Linked DNA regions of Stegostoma tigrinum. The protein of the gene in region 2 purifies or fractionates together with the protein of the main gene of each other region. This does not show direct contact. Links are inferred from orthologs where the notes say so. Each region holds a gene or a part of one and is shown on either strand. Other genes may lie near its edges.

Evidence for each region.
Region 1: the proteins of ubiquitin thioesterase ZRANB1 (region 2) and hectd1 purify together in Homo sapiens (affinity purification with mass spectrometry; 5 studies listed by BioGRID and IntAct, with this or other methods). This does not show direct contact. The link is inferred for Stegostoma tigrinum from reciprocal best matches to the Homo sapiens genes ZRANB1 and HECTD1.

Annotation. Positions count from the first base shown.
Region 1 is NC_081363.1:60,979,367-60,988,833, reverse strand, and holds the start of hectd1 (E3 ubiquitin-protein ligase HECTD1), read right to left. Parts: upstream 3,888-9,467; 5' UTR 3,596-3,887; intron 3,387-3,595; exon of another isoform or gene 3,097-3,386; intron 2,978-3,096; 5' UTR 2,853-2,977; coding exon 2,713-2,852; intron 1-2,712. UniProt on the Homo sapiens protein: E3 ubiquitin-protein ligase which accepts ubiquitin from an E2 ubiquitin-conjugating enzyme in the form of a thioester and then directly transfers the ubiquitin to targeted substrates.
Region 2 is NC_081373.1:30,893,024-30,903,169, reverse strand, and holds the start of ubiquitin thioesterase ZRANB1, read right to left. Parts: upstream 4,634-10,146; 5' UTR 4,449-4,633; intron 4,415-4,448; exon of another isoform or gene 4,311-4,414; intron 4,279-4,310; exon of another isoform or gene 3,745-4,278; intron 1,067-3,744; 5' UTR 905-1,066; intron 1-904. UniProt on the Homo sapiens protein: Ubiquitin thioesterase, which specifically hydrolyzes 'Lys-29'-linked and 'Lys-33'-linked diubiquitin. Also cleaves 'Lys-63'-linked chains, but with 40-fold less efficiency compared to 'Lys-29'-linked ones.

The DNA.
Region 1 (9,467 bases), on a different chromosome or scaffold from region 2:
ATTGCAAGTGGATACAGCAGTGGGATTGTTTGGGATCACTTGGCTCTGTAAATAGCTTCTGCTGTTTAGCATGCTTGTAATCTTGAGTTGTTGCTCCACCAGGTTAGCCTTTTTGAAAAAAAAACTTAAACTTTCCATCTTCTGTTCCTATTAAGTAACTTAATAGCAATGCTTTGTGAGGGATATGCTAAACACCAAAAAAAAAAGCTAAAAACATAATAGAGAAAACAAAACGGGTGGGCAAACTAGCAAACATCCAAAAGTTGACATGAACTTATTTAAATATGTAAAAAGGAGACAGAGAGTCAGGTCAAGGACCCCTTAGGAAATGAAGCTGGTGAAATAGTTGAGGAATAAGGAAATGACAGAAGAGTTAAACTGATATTCTACATCACTCTTCACAGTGGAAAATACCACAGACAACCCATTAATGCAAAAGAATACAGGGGAGGAATTCACTATCATCGCCATCACCAGAGTAGTAGTAATGGAAAAGCTAACAATGCTAAAGGCAGATGAGTACCCTGGCCTTGATGGTTTGCATCCTAGGATCCTAAAAGTAGCAGCTACAGAGACCGTTGGTGTATCAGTATTAATTTTTCAAAATAACAGCAGCACACTGGAAAATCAGAGTTTAACCAGGCAGGGTCAGCATCACTTCAAAAGGGAAATCATATCTAACTAATTTTATTAGACGTTTGAGAAAATCTCAACTCGAGAGGATAGAGGGAAACCAGTACATGTGTTGTATTTGGACTTCCAGAAGATATCTGTCATCATACCTTACAAAAGGTTAAGTCTCATGGGCAAAGGTTAAATAGGCTATGTTTCTACTCACTAGAGTTTAAAAGAATGAGAGTGGGATCTCAATGAAACATATTGGATTCTGAAGGGATAACACTGTGGAGCTGGAAGAACACAGGAGGCCAGGCAGCAGAGAAGTAGGCATAGTTGATGTTTCTGGTCAGGACCCTTCTTTTCCTCCTCTTCCGACGCTGCTTGGCTTGCTGTGTTCCTCCAGCTCCACACGGTTATCTCTAACTCCAGCACTGGCAGTTGTTACTATCTCTGAGGATTCTAAAGGGGGTTGACAGAGTAAATAATGAAAGGATGTTTCCCACATGGGACAATCTGGAACCCGACGGCATTGTCTCTGAATAAAGGGGTGTCCATTTAAAATTCAGAGATGGAGGAATTTCTTCTTTCAGAGGGTTGACAGCCTTTGGAACTGCTTGCTACAGGCAGCTGTGGGCGCAAAGTCATTGTGCATGTACTTAATGCGGAGATAAATCAGTAGAGGAATTGAGAGTTATGAGGAAAGGGCAGGAAAGTGGATATGAGAAATGCCGAATCAGCTATCATCCTGCTGAATGGCAGAGCAGGCTTGAGGAGCCAAACCATCCAACTTCTGTTCTTATTTCTTATGACTTTTCAGTTTTATAGTTTCCGGTAGATAGTTCTGTTGCTATCAATGGCCGAGAGTGTTTGCTTACTATTTTATTTTCAGGCACCAAACCTCTAAAGACTCTACCCCATTTAGCTTGGTACTCGTGTCATACAGCATATGGGGAGTTTCCTCAGTATTAAGATGGAAATTGATCTCCCAGAGGATTGTGTGATGGCCACTCATACTAAGCCTGTCATGGACAGGTTCATCTGTGACAGGTAGATTGATGGAACAAAGTCAACTATGTTTTTTTATTTCTTCTTTCAACAAAATGCAATCAGAGATTCAGGACCAAGAGTGCCCTCCAAGCCTTTGTGATCCTCAGCAATTCCTTCAAGTCAGAGCCTGAGGGTTGACCTTATCGAGGTTTATGACGTCATGAGGAGCACGTATAGGGCGAACAGCCAAAATCTTTTTCCTATGAGAGTCCAAAATGAGAGGGAACACATTCAAGGTGAGGGCAGAAAAGATTTTAAAAGCTCCCAAGGGGCAACTTTCTCATGCATAGGGTAGCCAAAGGAAGTGGAGGAGATGGGTACAATTGCAACATTTAAATAGCTGGATGGGTGTTTGAGTACAAAGGATTTAGAGGGATATGGGCCAAATGCTGGCCAATGAGACTAGGTCAGATTGGGATATCTGGTTGGCGTGGAGCAGTTGGACCAAAGGGTCTGATTCTGTGTTGTATGACTACGACTATTAAGGTGAATGAATATCGTTGCCATTTTAACAGCGATGGATCTGAATCTAGCCAGAAGAGGTTATGCATATCAACTGTCAGGAAATCCATATTTCCAAACTTTCTGATTGAATCAATATCAGAAGTGACCCTTAAAAACACAGCCCATGTTTCTAACAATGTTTAATACCACAAGAACTCCTGTCTTCCAAGGTATTAAGTATGTCACATAACTCATTGCTGTTCCCAACCTAAAAGCAATTCGGCGTGTAATCACATCCATTTCCCTTGGGCAGCCACTTGCTCTGCAGAGCACGCACAATATCTCTGCGGTTGTGTTCGTAAAATATAAACTTTGTTGAAGCCATCGGAACGCAGATCTGAAACATTGTGAAATCCCTGGGTACTTCATAACCTTGTTCTCCCTTCTAATGCGTCACTTAGAGATACGATTAAAATAACTACCAACGCACAATTCTTGAAATTAAGAGCAAATATTAAAAAAAACAGCCCCAATCGAAGTTGGGATCCGGCAAAAGTCAAGTCAACAGAAAACGACCGACGACAAAATTAAAAGAAAACTTACGTTTCAAAACAACGATCCACATTATCGGACATGAGAAGTAACATGCACAGCTGCTCCAAGGCTATAAGCTGCATGTCCCTCTCGTCTCCCTGGCCCATTTGTAGCCATTCCAACAAGGTATCGGGATCCACATCGGCCATGATGAGATAGACCTCTTAAATCCCTGACAGTTATCCCCACTAATGTCCTCCTAAAACTGGGAGGCTGGTGGGAAAGTCCCTGGGAAGAGAGATCACCGTGTTTTCCACAACTGGTCCGAAAGAATCTAGCCAAAAAATAAAAGAAAGTACACGTTAACGGATTCTTTTTTGTGCATGTTATTTCAGTTCATCATCAATTCCCCCACTCTAAACCATCCCCTCGACCTTCCATGAAATAAATAACCTGAGAAAGTTTGGGCAAGCGATTTCCACCCGAAACTAACGCACTTGCCCGCTCAGGAGCCGCCATTTAAACATATTCGGCCTAAAGCTGGCGGATCAGTATTGTCCAGGCCCAGGCCGATGAGACTCAACAGCCGCCTCACGGGGACAGAGACGCAGGCCCCAGGCTGCCCGGTCCGGTCAACCCCGGGGCGGGGCGCTCGAAGGTAGTGACCGTGGCCGACGAGGCCCACTTAAACCGGAGAGGCCTGGGCCTCGCTTCAGCCTACCGCCCGGGCGGACACACAAAGAGACTCGGCCTGACCCGGAGATGATGATGATGATGATGATGATGATTGGGGGGGGGCGGGGGAAAGGAACAGGGTAAGACAGAGCAGTCCGTTGCGGCCGACTTCCCCTGGGCTAGCGCCTGGATTCTGACCGTAAGGCCTAGCGTCATCAAAGCCGGCTGGCCCCGAAAGCGACTCCTCGTCCCGTTCTCGACGACGGCGGCAATGTACCTCCACTCACCGGCTCTGGCTATCGGCGGCTCGAGAGACACCGCGGCATCATATCCTTTCCCCTCACTCTCCTCTCCCCCGCCGCCGCCGCCAGGCTGGCCGAAGTGTTCAAGAACAAGGGGCCGAGAGCACCTCCTGGTCGTGGGACCGAAACCGGAGCTCCAGGCACCGAATGCAGAGGGAGGAGGAGGAGGAGTAGGAGTGTCCGTTCCTCCCCTTTACCTAGGGAGCGACACTGAAACGCCGCGGCCTCTCACAAACGTCAAACCTTGTACGTCTCTCCGTGTGGTTATGTTTAATCTTGGAGAAATTAGATATAAAACAAACAACCACATTTCACCTCCTTTCGAAATACATGATGGGTGAGTCTTTTTTAAAAAAAAACACCTTGTGACCGTTGAATTAATTTCGTCGCTGGAGCCGTGAAAAACAAAACATGTTTTTCATTTGAGGCTGTGGAGTGGTGTGGTGTTCTCGGAGGGTTTCTCTGCGGGCCTGTTGGCAGAAGGACAGTTTCATCTGCCGTTAAGGTGAGTTTCGACGACGGACGCACAAATGAACGGATCGCTTCTCATCATTTCGAGGTAGATCGAGAGAGGCGTTTATCTCACAACGAACACCACAAAATCATATCATCTGACCGTTGTCATTGCTGTTTTTGTGCAGATTTGCTGTGTGCAAATTAGCTGCCATACTTCCTACAGTGCAGGCGTGACAATACTTGAGAAATGTCTCAGGTGAGGCCAAGCATTTTCTCTGATGAAGGGTCCAGGCCCGAAACGTCAGCTTTTGTGCTCCTGAGAAGCTGCTGGGCCTGCTGTGTTCATCCAGCTTCACACTTTGTTATCTTGCGATGACTTGTTCCTTTCAAGGTATCTCTTTTGACTCAGCCTTAGAAAGACATGGCTTATATACGACTCTAAAACATGTACTGTTTTTCATGAGCTTTTCAGATGCTATTTAGCTGAATAAAATACGTACAAGGGCACTTTTTCAAAGTGGTGTAGGAATGCCCAGCCAACATTCACCCCTCCACCCATTTCCTAAATCATACTGTTGGTTATTCGTAAACAGTTATCTTGAGAAAACGTTGAGAAAAAGTTGAGCATTAACCCAGTGGTATTTGGTATTGGTATTTGTGAATCAAATTCCAGCAATGGGTGAATAACCCTGCAACCTTTTAAATACCACAGGAGAGGTTAAGGCAAAGGGAGCAAAACATTATTTAAAATCTAGTACAGCCAAAGACAGAGTGATACTACGTTGGTCATTTTCCAGTTACTCCCGCAACCAAACGAGTATCAAACAATACGCTCTGTATTCCTTTAGAATCAACTAAGGAGTTGAACCCGGATCTTTGGGCTGCTCTGGGTCTTCGTACGTTTTGTGCAGAAGAGGATGTCTCCAGTGCTCCGTGGAATATTAACATAACATTGGAAACACCAGTTACAAGTGATAAGGCCAATTTCATTGCCATAGAAAGCTCTAGCTGTCAGCTGAGGTCAGAAGGTGCATTCTATGCTGCTAAGAAAAGCACCGTTCACTTCAAGTTGGGCAGTTCCCAAATAATGAGCTGCTGACTTGCCACAGGTCCATCTGCTTCAAAGGGGGCTTACGTCTAATAGCTCTTGCTCAACAAGCAAGTGGAATCTATCATACCAGGCAAACAAGTGAAAAACATGAAAAGAAAAAAGACACAAACTATTCTGTTAGTAGGCTTGAATGTCAGAACCAAGTGCCAACAGACAACTTGCAGCTGATGATAAAATGCAGAAGACAACAGTGATTCATGTGGAACTTGGACAGAATATCAACACAGCTTCCCTCCAAGACACCATATTCACAAAGAGTGGATCACTGAAAGAAAAACATATTCATCTGATAGGGAAGAGTTCAGAGCAGGTTTATGCGTCTGGTGTAGGTTTTGTTGTTAGGTAATTATTAATTTTGGTGATGGAACTCACTCCAGTTAGTTCAAAATATATTCTCCGCATCCGCTTCTGAACTCAAGCAGGGTCTGTTAACTTCATGGGCATCTGTGCTCCATGACAGAGGTGAAAGACAAGTTCTGTGAGGAGCGAGACACTGTCAGAAGAATCCCCAAGTCAGGATATCTTCATCCACTGGGGATTTCAGTGCAAGAGGGGATGCAGACCATAAGACATGGCCCTGCTGTCTCTGAAAGGTATATGAAAACAGACAGAAACAAATTAAGCTTCACCACTGTCACAAGCTTTTCAACACCTTTCAGAACAAGCCATACCATAATGTTGCCAGGAGACATCCAGGGTACAGCGTCCTGGAGACATTCTGGTGTGACCCAGTGGATGGAACCCTTGAAGCTTTTCTTCAAAGCAGAAATGTTGCCTTTGTATCAAGATCAAACATTTTGCCCACCATGTAAAAACCAACAGTTCCTCAACACAACACGCATTCACCAGCATTTCCACAATGAACACCAAAATAAAATGAAACATTCCATCAACGATATGCACTCTCAAAATATGGAAAGCAACACTAGGAAAGTGCTAACTGATAGAAGTCTGACATCTAACTGCCCTGTCAATATTCCAGCATTGGAACTGGAGACTTAACCTCCAGAACTAACCACATCTGTAGTTTAGCCGTTCAGTGTAGCTGTACACTGGCATCTAGCTGACAATGTGGAAAACTGTCCAAATATGACCTGTCCACAAAAAGCCGTACAAATCCAATCTGGCCAGTTGCCACGCCATCAACCATCTTTCAATTATCACCAAAATAATGGAAAGGTTTGCAACAGTGTTATCAAGCAGCATTTACACTGCAGTAACCTGCTCACATTATTATTTTGTGGTTCACCAGGACTCCTCAGCTGCTGCCTTCATTGCAGCCTTGGTCCAAACATGGGCAAAAGAACTGAACTAAGGAGGGGATAAAATCAAGGCAGTGTTTGCTTGAGTGTGACATCAAATTTAAAGTCAATGGGAATCAGGAGAAATATTCTGCACTGGTTGGGATCATACGTAGCACACAGGAAGATGGTCATGCTTGTTGGAGCCCAATTAGGGGATGTAATGCCCTAGTGGTATTATCACTGAACTGTTAATTCAGAGACCCAGGTAATGTTCCAGGGATCTGCATTTGAATCCCACCATGACAGATGATAGAATTTGAGTTCAATTAAGAACAGAACTGAAATTAAGAGTCCAGTGATGACCATGAATTCATTGCTGGTTGTCAGGAAAACCCCATCCAGTTCACTGGTGGCCCTTAGGGAAAGTGGAGTTAATATTCAATGTATAATTTTTTCCATAATATACTGAACATTAATTCATTTGCCATGGGCAAAGTTGCAAGTACTGATAGTGTACCATATGAACTCATAAAATATGAGAAACTGGTACTCTTGCAGCAACTGTGATAACTTCTCTTGCCTCTGCTGCAGAAATGGGGCAACAGCAGAATTGCAAAAATTTGCATGGCAGCTTCTTGTTCAACATCTTGAGCAAAGTATTTGGCTATTGTTGCCCTTGACAGACAGTAGTTCCTGCTGAATCCATTTACCTCAAATCCTAGTATTTTTCAGAACTGGAATTTCGACAGTTGTCATGAACTTCTCAGTCCAGCAACTGCAATAGCAACACAATAACAAAGGAGACCATTGTGCATTGCCTTCATTGATCTTATAAATGCATTCAGCCACGTGGACAGAGACAGTCCATTCAAGCTGCCATCCAAAATTGTTCAATGTGATCTCAACCATGACAATACAATGGGTAAGATCAACTACATAACAGAACAACATCAATACATAGTGCAGTTGGTGTTCTGGCACCGACAGTCCTTGGCATATTCATTCCTCACTTTGCTCCTGGAGTATGCCTTCAGGATATTCACAGAAACTGTCTCTTTACAGCCTTGTTCGTCTGAGTTCCAAGACAAAGATGCACCAAGCCATCATCAGACAGTTACTCTGCACCAACAGTGTTACTATCTTTCCATATTGAGGAATATCTGCAGCAGCAAATACTCAAAATCTTTATGATAATTCCCAAAAGGTCGGTGGGGAATCAGTAATTAATCTCCTATCGGAGCTTGTTGAGTACAAGTTCCCTCGGTAACAGGCAACGACTGACCCAGCTGAAAGTCATTGCCTGAACCTCACTGTTTCAGTAAGTCTATCGGTCTGTCTCATTCTTGCATTCTCCCATTTCAGCATTTATTTAAGGTAGTTGCTCAGTCTAGTGAATAAGATGTCTGACTTCAGTATTAACCAGGGTATTGGCAGAAGATTGCAGGTTCAGGTTATGCTGCGACAGTTTGCAGAGAGCTGTTTTGTAATGGTAGTATCACTACCTTTCAGCCAGGAGGCTCAGGTTGAACTCCCACCTGCTCCAGAGGCATGTAATGACATCTCTGAACAGGATGATTAGAAAAATAGGTTAAATTTTAAAAATTAATAAAGCAGACCCTGGAAGGGCAGGCCACACGCTCTTCTCTGTTCACCAACAGCCAGACATTTTTGCAACCAATATTTCAACCCCATCACTCAAAGGAGACACTGAAAAGAATCCCAGCCTTGCCTGACAGTCATATTTTTCCTTTAATTTACTGGAAATATGTCTTTTTGCCCACAAATTTGTTAACAGAACTCACTGCTGAATATTCAGAAAAATATCTAGCTGTGTTGAACTCCAAACGATTATAATAAAAAAACTTCAAGCTTTTAAAGATGACAGACATATCTGCAGTGATTGAGACAATCCTGAAATTCAAAAGCATGCATTGAAAGAGAACTTGTTGACAGTTTCTTCACTAAATCAGCTTCTCCATCATCAATTTTAAATAAATAAACACCTTACCAACGGAGGAGGGGCTGTTGTTGAGTGAAAAAAGAAAAAAAAAGCAGGCCCCTCTTCCACAGTTACATTCATGTCTGAATATCATTGGAGAAGGAGTATGTGGTGTCCATCAAAGCTCTTGATGCCTTTAGAGAGACATGGGCACCAAGGGCAATAAAGTGATTTATCTCATCCTCCAATTTCATTTTAGAACATAGAACAGTACAGCACAGTACAGGCTTTTTGGCTCATGTGTTGTGCCGACCTACTCTAAGATCAAACTACCCTGCATACCCTATATTTTACAATCAGCCAAATGCCTATCCAAGGTCAGTTAAATGTCCCTAATGTATCTGCCAGCAGTACATTCCACACACCCACCATTCACAGTGAAAATAACCCACCTCTGATATCTCCCCTATACCTTCCTCCAATCACCTTAAAATTATGCCCCTTGTAATAGTAATTTCCACTCTGGGAAGAAGTGTCTAGCTATCCACTCTATCTATGTCTCTCATCATCTTGTACATCTATATCAAGTCACCTCTCATCCTTCATTGGTCTAATGAGAAAAGTCCTAGCTCCCTCAACCTTTCTTCATAACACCTACCCTCCTGCATCCTGGTAAATCTCCACTGCACCCTCTCTAATCAAAAGTGAACACAATATTCCAAGTGTGATCTAACCAGGGTTTTATAAAGCTGCGCAAAACCTCACCTAACGTCTTATTCTCAATACCCCTGCCAATGAAAGCCAACACACCATACACCTTCTTAATACTCTGTCAACTGGGGTGGCAGCTTTGAGGGATCTATGGACGTGGACCCTAAGATTTCCCTGTTCCTCTACACTGCCATTAACCTTGTATTCTGCATTCAAATTCAACTTTCCAAAATGAATCACTTCACATTTTTCTGTCTTGAATTCCATCTGCCACTTCTTTGCCCAGCTCTGCATCCTGTCAATGTCCCGTCGCAATCTGCAACAGCCCTCCACACTGTCCACAACTCCACCAACCCAAGTGTCATTTTGATTTAGTCCCTTACTGC
Region 2 (10,146 bases):
GGGTCACAGGTCCCAAAACGTTAACTCTGATTTTTCTTTGCAGATGCTGCCAGACCGGCTGAGCTTTTCAAGTGACTTCTGTTTTTGACCCCCTCTAACTGTTTATCAAGAGTAGCTGAACGGAAGTTTCATTAATTAAACTTACATACTATGGATGCACAATTCAAACCAAGACAGCTTTTAATATTTCCTACCATAAATTATCTAAAAATTACTATACAGGACAGCAGAATCAAAACTACAAAAATGCATGGATTAAATTTTAAAAATTGTGGAATAAACTGACTTAAATCAGTTTCACTTTTGTCCTCTTTTCATGGGTTAGGACAAATCTACAGCTATAACTGTGCGCAACTGCACCAAGCAAATATGCATTTAACTCCCATATCAAAGTATAAATTAATTAGGACCAATTCAGCGTAACCACAGCACAGTAAAATATATATCTGACATCACAAACTGGTAATTTGTTTAGCAGAAAGAAATAAATTGCTCTTTGGTGAGATCCTCACAAAAGAGGCAACGCTCCTTACAATGATATCCTAGATAGTGACCACTACAGTTAAGACTCTGTGCACTCTGGAAAACCAACTCCAGAACTCATTACAAAATCCATTAGTGTGGAATCAGTTCATCTATGCTTATTCCCTCACTAGTTTATGAGAAGGAAACCACGCATCCATGAGAAAAAAGCTAATTGGATGCAAATGTCAAGAATAAGTGTATATATAACATTCTTTTGCACAATTTACATAAATCATCTGTATTTAATAAATTAAGTATGTTATATTACCCAGGCTGGTTATGAGTTTAAAAGAAAGAATGACTGTTAAGCTATTTGGATTGCCAATGAAAACCCAACAGGTTTCACTAATGCCCTCAGAGGGAAGGAAACCTTGCTCACCTTACCTGGTCTGGCCTATAAGTGATTCCAGTTCCATACCAATTCTTAACTGCCCGCTGAAATGGACTAGAACATCACTCGGTTCAAGGAGGTGGTTCAAAACCACCTTCTCAAGACAACTAGGGATGGGAAGATGCCAGCCTTTCCATTGACGCCCACATCCTGAGAACGAACAATTAAAAAAGAGAGAGAACTGGAAAATTTCTATTTAAAAATGAAGAACCAAGAGAAAGTCCAACATTTTCAAGAACTACCATCAGTTTATGGTTGACTGCTGCTCATTTACCAGGGCCAACCAAGTAAATAATCATGGAATCATACTGCACAGAGGGAAGTCGTTCAGCCACGCACCCTTGCCAGCTCCAAAGGGCTATCCAATTACTCCCTCTCCTCTTTTCCCCTTGTCTAAGCAACATTCCTGCCCTTTGATTTAAGCATATAATCCTTTTCTGAAAGTTAATTAAATTCTGCTTCTGCTACCCTTTCAAGAAGCCCATTGCTGATCATGACCATTACTTAAGAAATGGTCTGTAAATGGAGGTCACCAGAGTACCACAGAAATGGAGTCATATACCTGAATTATAAAAAGATAGACATTTGTTACAAGTGTATATGGTATTCTCCACTTTTTTAAAAATTCTAACAGATAATTAAAGCACACAGTAGTGGAAATCAAAGGACCTGTACACTTGAGTAAAACTACAAAACAGAATATCTAGCAAATTACTGTTCCAAAAAGGACAGTGGCCCAGGTTAATAGCTTACACACAGGAACAATGTTATAGTGGGGTCCCAACTTCAAGTGTGTTAGTAACTTTCCTATCTTAACACGTTTTAATATCACACTAGACAAATTCTACTCATAAAAAATGTGGGGCTCAACACACATCCATATTATACGTGCTTTAGCACGTCATTTTATAGTAGATCTCAGTGCATTGAGAGATGTTCATTAACTTTTGTTTAGTGCTTTGGAATTCGTACAATATTCTAAATCATCAGGTTTCCTCTCATTCTGCAACTACAATAGTATTGCTACTCCTTAAATTTTGGAATCTGCAGCAAATTTGATAAATAACCTTGCATCCTCAGTCTAGAAGAAAAATTTGACTGCACTCCCAAATTTTGATCACTCAAAATAACTGAACTTCCTACTTCCCATGAACATTGACATCTTCATATGACGACTTTTTGTTTCAAAGAAGTTAATTTTCAAATAGATATAAATTAAACACAGTAGCAAGTATGACGGATGTACTTGCTAGCTCTGCTGTCATCTAATAACTGCAGTATATTTGAGACAATCAACAAAACCAAATGGAAACAGCGGAGATCCACTCCAAGTACACAAAGGCATTTGGCAGAAGAAATAAAATTTGTAGACATATTTATGTATTTCAAAACTCAGCATAAACTATTATAAACTAATTTTTTTTTGGAATCCCATAAAATCCAAAACTCTGGTCTACATTAACTAAAGCTATTCCATAAAACTACAGAATCACTGGTTGTATGCTTACAAAATCCTTCCTTTTAAAGAAAGCAGTTACAATGCACTTGATTTAATACAGTTTTGCAAGATTTTACAAAATTACAAAATTTACCTCCAAACAAACTTTACTCCTGCCTTAGTTGTGTCAGCAATTTTCCACCAAACTTTTTATAGGTGGTACTAACCAACCAGGTATGACATGACTAAGCAGGCCACAACTCTGATAAAATTCATTCAAAACTTAGCATGCAAGAGTAAATCTTTCAGACATTGTTAGCCAAATCGATGCTGTATTTGTGGCTATTGTTAGAGAAAAGTACAGTTTCACAGATTGTTCACTTCACTTTCCGGGCTAGGGATAAGAAAGATAACTATAATTCTCACCACTCTATTAACAAAAGAAAGTCATTAAAGGTAGTAATATCCTGATCAAAAAAATTCAATCCAACAACGAAACTTTTAATCCAATATAATCACTATGCACAGAACACACTAAATACACACACCCGTTACTGAATATTCAAATCAGTCTTCTTGTATGGGGCTTTACAATTCAACATCCAAATTCAAAATGTTTTGATTAGGCTGAATTTCGTCGATAATAATGTAAACCTAAAAATAAACACACTATTCTGTACAGTTTTCACTTCACAAATCCCTGATGGCTGAAAACATTACACTTCATCACTACACAACCCTGTAAAAAGTTCAACAATTAATGCTACAAGAGAAGTACATGCTTCACAGTCTAATATTAAAGCAAAACTCTAAGACAGCAGAGCCAAGAGTTCATTTATTAGCAAGAAGCTGAATATACCTAATTAATCCAAGATATTAATCAGTGGGGGGGGGGGAGAGAAGAGAGGAGCTAACAGTTGTAGCCTTTATCAAGAAAAAAAATTACACCTGCTGGCTACACAACCTCAATGCCTTAGAGCCTTCCGGTTGATGACTAAGCTAAGTGTCAAACAGTCCCTAAATTATGTGGCTAAAATAATTGCTTATTGCTAAATCCAAATTATTGACAAGTACAATGTGAGAATGTAGCGTTCAAAACAGAATTATGCAGTGTTGAAATAAAAACTGCCACTCTGCAATAACTGAACTGCAATTCTGAATTTAATGATGATGATGATGATGATGATGATGATGATGGGGAAAGCAAAAAAATTTGATAAATTATGGTTCATATTCAAAAAGGATTTTAATTTATTTAACAACCCACCAATTTTGAACAAAAATCTCCCATTGGACTACAACTGTAAACAAACGAGAGTCAACAAGCGGCACTCAAGAAAGATTCCATTAATAGATATGGAATGGCAGCCACGTTACAAAAAAAACTTACAAAAATCACGTCGAAATGCTTTACTTTTTGGTCATGGAGATTGGGCCATAAAAATAAGGGTTTCAACAATAATAACGAAATGTACTTTGATTTCTTGTTTGTAGAGATCTGTTTTCAAACATTCGATCTCTAAGCTCCACAAACGTAGCGCTGGGTCCGGATAAAATGCAATTGGAAACAGAACCCCAGAAAAACAGAAAGCTATGCCAAGACAGATACAGTACGAATCTCATCTTGCATCAGAACATGAGTTTTATCTTTAGAAAGCTACTATTTGTTCGAATAGATATCCAGCCTGTTGTAATAGTATCAAAGTTCAGGTTCTGAACAAGATGTAAAGAGAAAACTAGATTTCTTCACGCACAATACAAAGGAGGCAATCGACTCTTTTCGTGGCCCCACCACCTCCGAACTTCAATGTACCGGCTTCATAACTGCTTGGGATAAACTTCTGAAAAGCCTACGTGCACCTTTACCTAATCGGGTGGTTGGGCTGAACCCAAGACTACACAACACGTCAACAGAGCTGCTGTTAAAGGAGCATGCAGATTTGTCTTAACACTAACTTCCAAAGGAGCGGACCTGCACCGATCCACGCTGGGCTGCGGACAAGAATGCTTCTCTGCCACTCCGGGCAGAATAACTAAAGAGCGCGGAAAAGAGCTGCGGTGCTTTTTTCTGTGTGACTGACGACCAACAGTTACCTAATTCCAGATCTCAGGCACTGGCCTGACATTCAGCTGCGCTGGGGCTGCACCTCCATTCCACCGCCGCCGTCGGTACCCCATCTCTTTCATTTACATTCAGTGTCAGAGGGACTGCATACAACAAACAGACCTTCTCCTCCACCGCCGCCGTTCCAGACGATCTCACTTCTCTCTACTTTCCCCCCCTCCCCACCCCTCCCCCGCAGCCCCCGCCGCTCTTTCCCTTACATGGTGGCCGGGTCAAATAAAAAGAAATCCCACCCCCTCCGCCCCGACTCACTCCCGTCGCACCTCACCCCCGTCCGACTAGCGACCTCCAGCTTCTACCCTTCTCCCACCCCCCCCCCCCTCCTCCCCAAGCCTCCTCTTCCTTTTTGTTCTTATGACATTTTTTTTTCCTTCCTTTTCTCAGGCTCCTCCGTTCGACTCTAATGGCGACGGCAAAGACAACATCGGACAAAGTTTGCTGGGATATTTAAAACGTCACTCCGCAACTCGCGCCCGCTCGCTCCCCTCATTGGCCGCCGCTCGGGCTCAGGCGTCGGACCAATCGTAGCAGACATCCGTGATGTTTTGGAACCGACGTCACCCCGGGTAACCGGGCTGTAACGTCATCACGTCAACCGAACGTTGGAGGCGAGGCGATTTCACGTCACGTAACTCAACACTGCTGTGTTTTTTGATTGGCCGACGATTACATCACCCACTATCTCGGACGGAATGCAACTCAGCTGATCAGAGCTTCTGTGCGCGGCGCCAGAGTCGGATTCACAACCCTTGTACGACTTAAACTCGCTGAACTTATAACTCACGCTATTTATTTTGGTAGTGACTAGGCGGAGATATGATCAAATAAAGATGCAGTTCTCAAAGAGCTACCGAACTAAGTAACCTGAGTACATATGTACATAAATCATTGAAGGTCGCAGAATATGGTGAGGGGATCGGTTAAGAAAGTATACAGCATCACAGATAGTAGGAACTGAAGAAGGGTCCAGACCCGAAACGTCGTCCTGCTCCTCTTGTGCTGCTTAGCCTGCTCTGTATTCATCCAGCTCTACACCTGGTTATCTTTATACAGCATCATAGGTTTTATTAATAGAGACATCGCGCACAAAAGCAAGGAAGCGAATTAAATTTGCACAGAACACTAAGCTGGCTTCAACTATAGTATCGCGCACAGTTTTGGACATGATGCTTCCGGAAGTATGTGCAGGCATTACGAGGAGTTCAGAGAATATTAATTGCTTCAAGGATAAGAAAACTCAATTATGTGGATAAATTTGCAAAATTAAGACTGGAGAAGAAAATATTGAGATATTTTTAATACAAGTATTCAACACCATGCGTCTGGATAAAGTAAACGATGGATCTGGATGCATAGATCTTTGGAGGTGGTAGGACAAATTGACAGATTGGTTTGCAAAGCAAATGGCATCGTGGGCTTCACAAATTAAGTACAAAAGCAGTCAAGGTCTGTTGAACCATTATAAAGCTCTAGTTTGCCCACAAAAACAAATTGCATCCAGTTGTAACTACCACACTTTTGGAAAGATTTCAACATCTTAGAGGGTGAAAGAGATTTACAAGTACAGTTCCAAGGATGAGAAGTTTTATTAGACTGGAAAAGCTCATTATTTTTATCAAAGCATAGGCAAATGAGTGGAGTTTATAGGAGACGTAGAAGATTGTGACAGTTTTAGAATACAGAAAGAAAAGTTGTTCCCAGTGATGCTACAAGGATGAGTGGACACGGATTTAAAGTTTTTGTCAAGACTTGCAGGGAAATTTAAGAAAGACTTCTTTTATACACCAACTGAAACTAGTTCTGTATGTGGGCAGTGGAAGCAAAGATAGTCAGTGATTTCTAACAAAAATTAGATAGGAAAAATATTAACTTTCAGGGCTACAGGCATGGAGTGGAGAAACAGGACTGACTAGATTGTTTTGCAGAGAACTGGCATCAGTTTGATGGAAAAGTTTCCTCCTTCTGTGACATAATAAATTGGTAATCCAAAGCAAATAGTGTGCTATTGATTTTGTTGCCTACAACATCCACCCAAACAGGCAGAGAGCATCAGTTTAACATCACAAGTAAAAGATTCCTTCTGTCCTGTGTTGGAATGCTGGCCGTGGAGTTCCACAAACTGGCCCTGCAGTTCAGAAGCAGTTGTTCTTCCAATTAAGCCACAGCTGACATGCAGTTGGAATTTGATACTGGATGCTAAATTAACATTGATGCAAAGCACAAGGTTTAAATTCTCACATTCAGGTTGATAACCACTGGTCGGAGATAGTGCTAGATGTTTGACTCGTTGGATGTTGCAACTGTGTCACAATCTTTGGAACGCTTTCCCAAATCTCAGGTTTTTATCAGCTCTCCCACAATCTGCTGCTTTCAATTCTATTATCTTTTCTGGCTATTGTTTACTTACTGGCTCTTAAAAGACATTTTCCACAACAAGATTATAAATGTAATTCTATTGTTTAGTTGGCAAATACTATTTGTACAAAAATGCTTTCACCTGAAACTGAAAAAGCACTAACAAATTAAATTGGTTGTAACCATATTTCACTGTACAAATTCATGATCAATTTGTTTCAAATTTTAATTGATGTCTGGCCTCTAACAGATTTTATAAAGCATCTTGAATCAACTATTGAAAAGAATTGATTACTTGATATTTTTAGGCTGGCACTCCAATCTCGTACTAACAGAGTGCTGCACCATCTGAGAAACCATCTTGATGAGATCTAACATTGAGACTCTATATGCCTGCCTGCATCAATGTAAAGTATCCCATATCACTATTTCAAAGAAGAGCAGTCATACCTCTGGCATTTAAACCAATTTTTATCACTCAGTTAAGATTGCCAAAATCACATTGTTATTTGTGGACACTTGCCGAGTGCAAATTAGCTATATTGTTTCTTACATTATAGCACACACTAAACAATGACTCCACTTCCACTGTTTTCCAAGGAAGGGTGTTTCAAAGACCTCAAAGGAAAAATTCTCACCTCCATATTAAATGAAAGGCTCCTTAATTTTAAACTGCAACCCCTAGTTCTTGTCTTTCCAAAAGTGGAAATATCCTTTGAGCATACATAAAGTGAAGACATCTCAGTGTCTCGTATGTCTCACCAGGATCACTTTTTATTCTTCTAAACTCTATGGTTGTAGGCCCAACCCTCCATATCCCAGGTATCAGTTAAATGAACCTTATCTGACCTGTTTTAACTCATCTGTAGTCTTTCGTTCTGCAAAAGAGAGGTTTGTCTTACTTTTCCCTGCAACTCCTGCCAAAAGTAAGGAGACTAAAAATGCATACAGCTCTCTAGATATGGTCTCACAAATATCCTGTATAACTGTGGCAAGAGACCCTTTCTTTTATTCATCACTTTCTTTGCAATAAATAACAATGTTCTAAATGCCTTCCGAATAACTCGTCATACCTACATATGCACTTTGTGATTCATACACCAGGACACCCCAGATCTCTCTGTACCACACCTCTGCAATCTTTCACAACTTTAATAAAATGCTGCTTTTATATTCTTCTTGCCAAAGTGAACAAGTTCACATTTTCCCCCATTAAAGGAAAATTCATCACATTCCTATTGGACCATTGTGTTGCTCTCTCACTAGTGACAAAACTGTAGGCAGTTTACCCTGAGGATCACCATGCATCAAATGAGTGGAGAGATTGAGGAATATCCTTCATAGTAACTTTAGTTGGTCATTCTCCTGCTTGCCCTCTTTAACTAAGTCTTTTATAAATCAATTTATCTCAGCCTTCAAGATATTCAATGGCACAGATTTCACCACTCTCTTTAGAAGAGAATTCCACAGCCTAACAATCCTCATCTCTATCTTAAGTAGAAGAACTAATTTAAACCAAGTCCCATGGTCCTAAAGTAAACAGTATCACAATACTTTACCCTCTACCCCCTCACAATCTTAGATGTTTCAGTCAGATTACCTCTCATTCTACTGCAATCCAATGAGTAGAGGCCCAACCTCCTCAAAGTATATTCAAAAGATAAACTTTCTCTTAGGCATCAACCTCATGGACAGTCTCTGAACTGCTTCCAAAGCAGGTGTGTCTTTTCTCAAGTAAGGAGACTTGAAAATTATTTTTATTATTAGTTAATGGGATACAAGTACCATTAGTCGTCCATCCATAACTGTCCTCAAAGTGGAGGAAATAAGATGCCTTCCTAAACCACTGCAGTCCTTAAAAGGTGTAAGTACACCCACGATGCCCTTGCTTTGTTGTGTGTAGCAGGATTTCTCTATTTTTATACTCAATCTTCTTCACAACAAGGACCAAAGTTCTATTTGCTTTCCACATTACTTGCAGTATTTACATGTCAACATTTAGTAATTCATGTACAAGAACAACCAGGTCCCTCTTTACTGCAGCATTAGTTTATTTTCATGTCAATAATATTCCATTTTTCCGTTCTCCCTGCCAGAGTGGTAACCTAATTTCCAATCATTATATTTTGTTTGCCAAATTTTTGCACACCCACTCAACATATCTAGATCCCAGGTTATGTTCACTTCATAATTTGTTTTTCTACCTAACTAGCATGTAAATATGGCTACAATAGTCAGTTCCTCTATGCAAGTAACAAATCTAAACTGTAAATAATTGAGGCTCCAGCACTAATCTCTGTTGCATTCACTTTTTTGAGTTTATCAACCTCAAAAATGAGCCATTTAACTGACTGTTTATTGCTAACCAACCAATTCTCCATCCATGCTAATATATCACCACTAACACCATGACCTCTTCTGCTATAACCTCTGATATGGAGACTTACCGAATCCCTGTTAGAAATCCAAATACATTGCATCTACTGGTTCCCCTTTATCCACCTTGTTTACAAAATACTAAAAGAATACTAACAAATTGTCCAAATAATTCCCATTCAAAAGGCCACATTTTCTCTACCCGTGTATTACCATTTTCTAAATGTCTTCATAATAATGGCTTCTAGCAATTTCTCAATGGCAGAAATGTTAGACTAACCAATCATTAGTTCCTAAGATAGTAGGAACTGCCAACGCTGGAAAATCCGAGATAAAACAGTGTGAAGCTGGATGAACACAGCAGGCCAAGCAGCATCGGAGGACCTGAAAAGCTGATGTTTCGGGTCAAGACCCTTCTTTGGACCTGAAGCATCAGCTTTCCTGCTCCTCTGATGCCGCTTGGCCTGCTGTGTTCAGCTTCACACTGTTTTAACTCATTAGTCTCTTCTTTCTGAATACAGGTGTTATCAATGTCACTTTCCAACTGAAAGAAAAATAATTTTAAGGGATAAACATGTAATTTAGCTACATATTTGCTTTCTATGTACTTGTATATGCTTTCACTACTCAAGTTTACCTTTCTTGCTGATTTTCTCTCACACGTAATTCTCCAGTTTACCATGATAAAGAATGTTGGTGAAAAGCAATACAGGGAGAAATAAGAAACATTAAAGATTAAATGAAAAGTCCTAGTCCTGATGGAATGGTGGCTACAAATTAGATTATTGAGAGAATGGTTGTGCTATCTTCCTACACTGCAATCTGGAAAATGTCAGTTAAAATTCCTCACTACCTCTCCTCCAAGACAGATCTTCAAACTCATTTCATTCAACAAACATTTGAATAACACTAATACTAATATCACTTACACCTTTA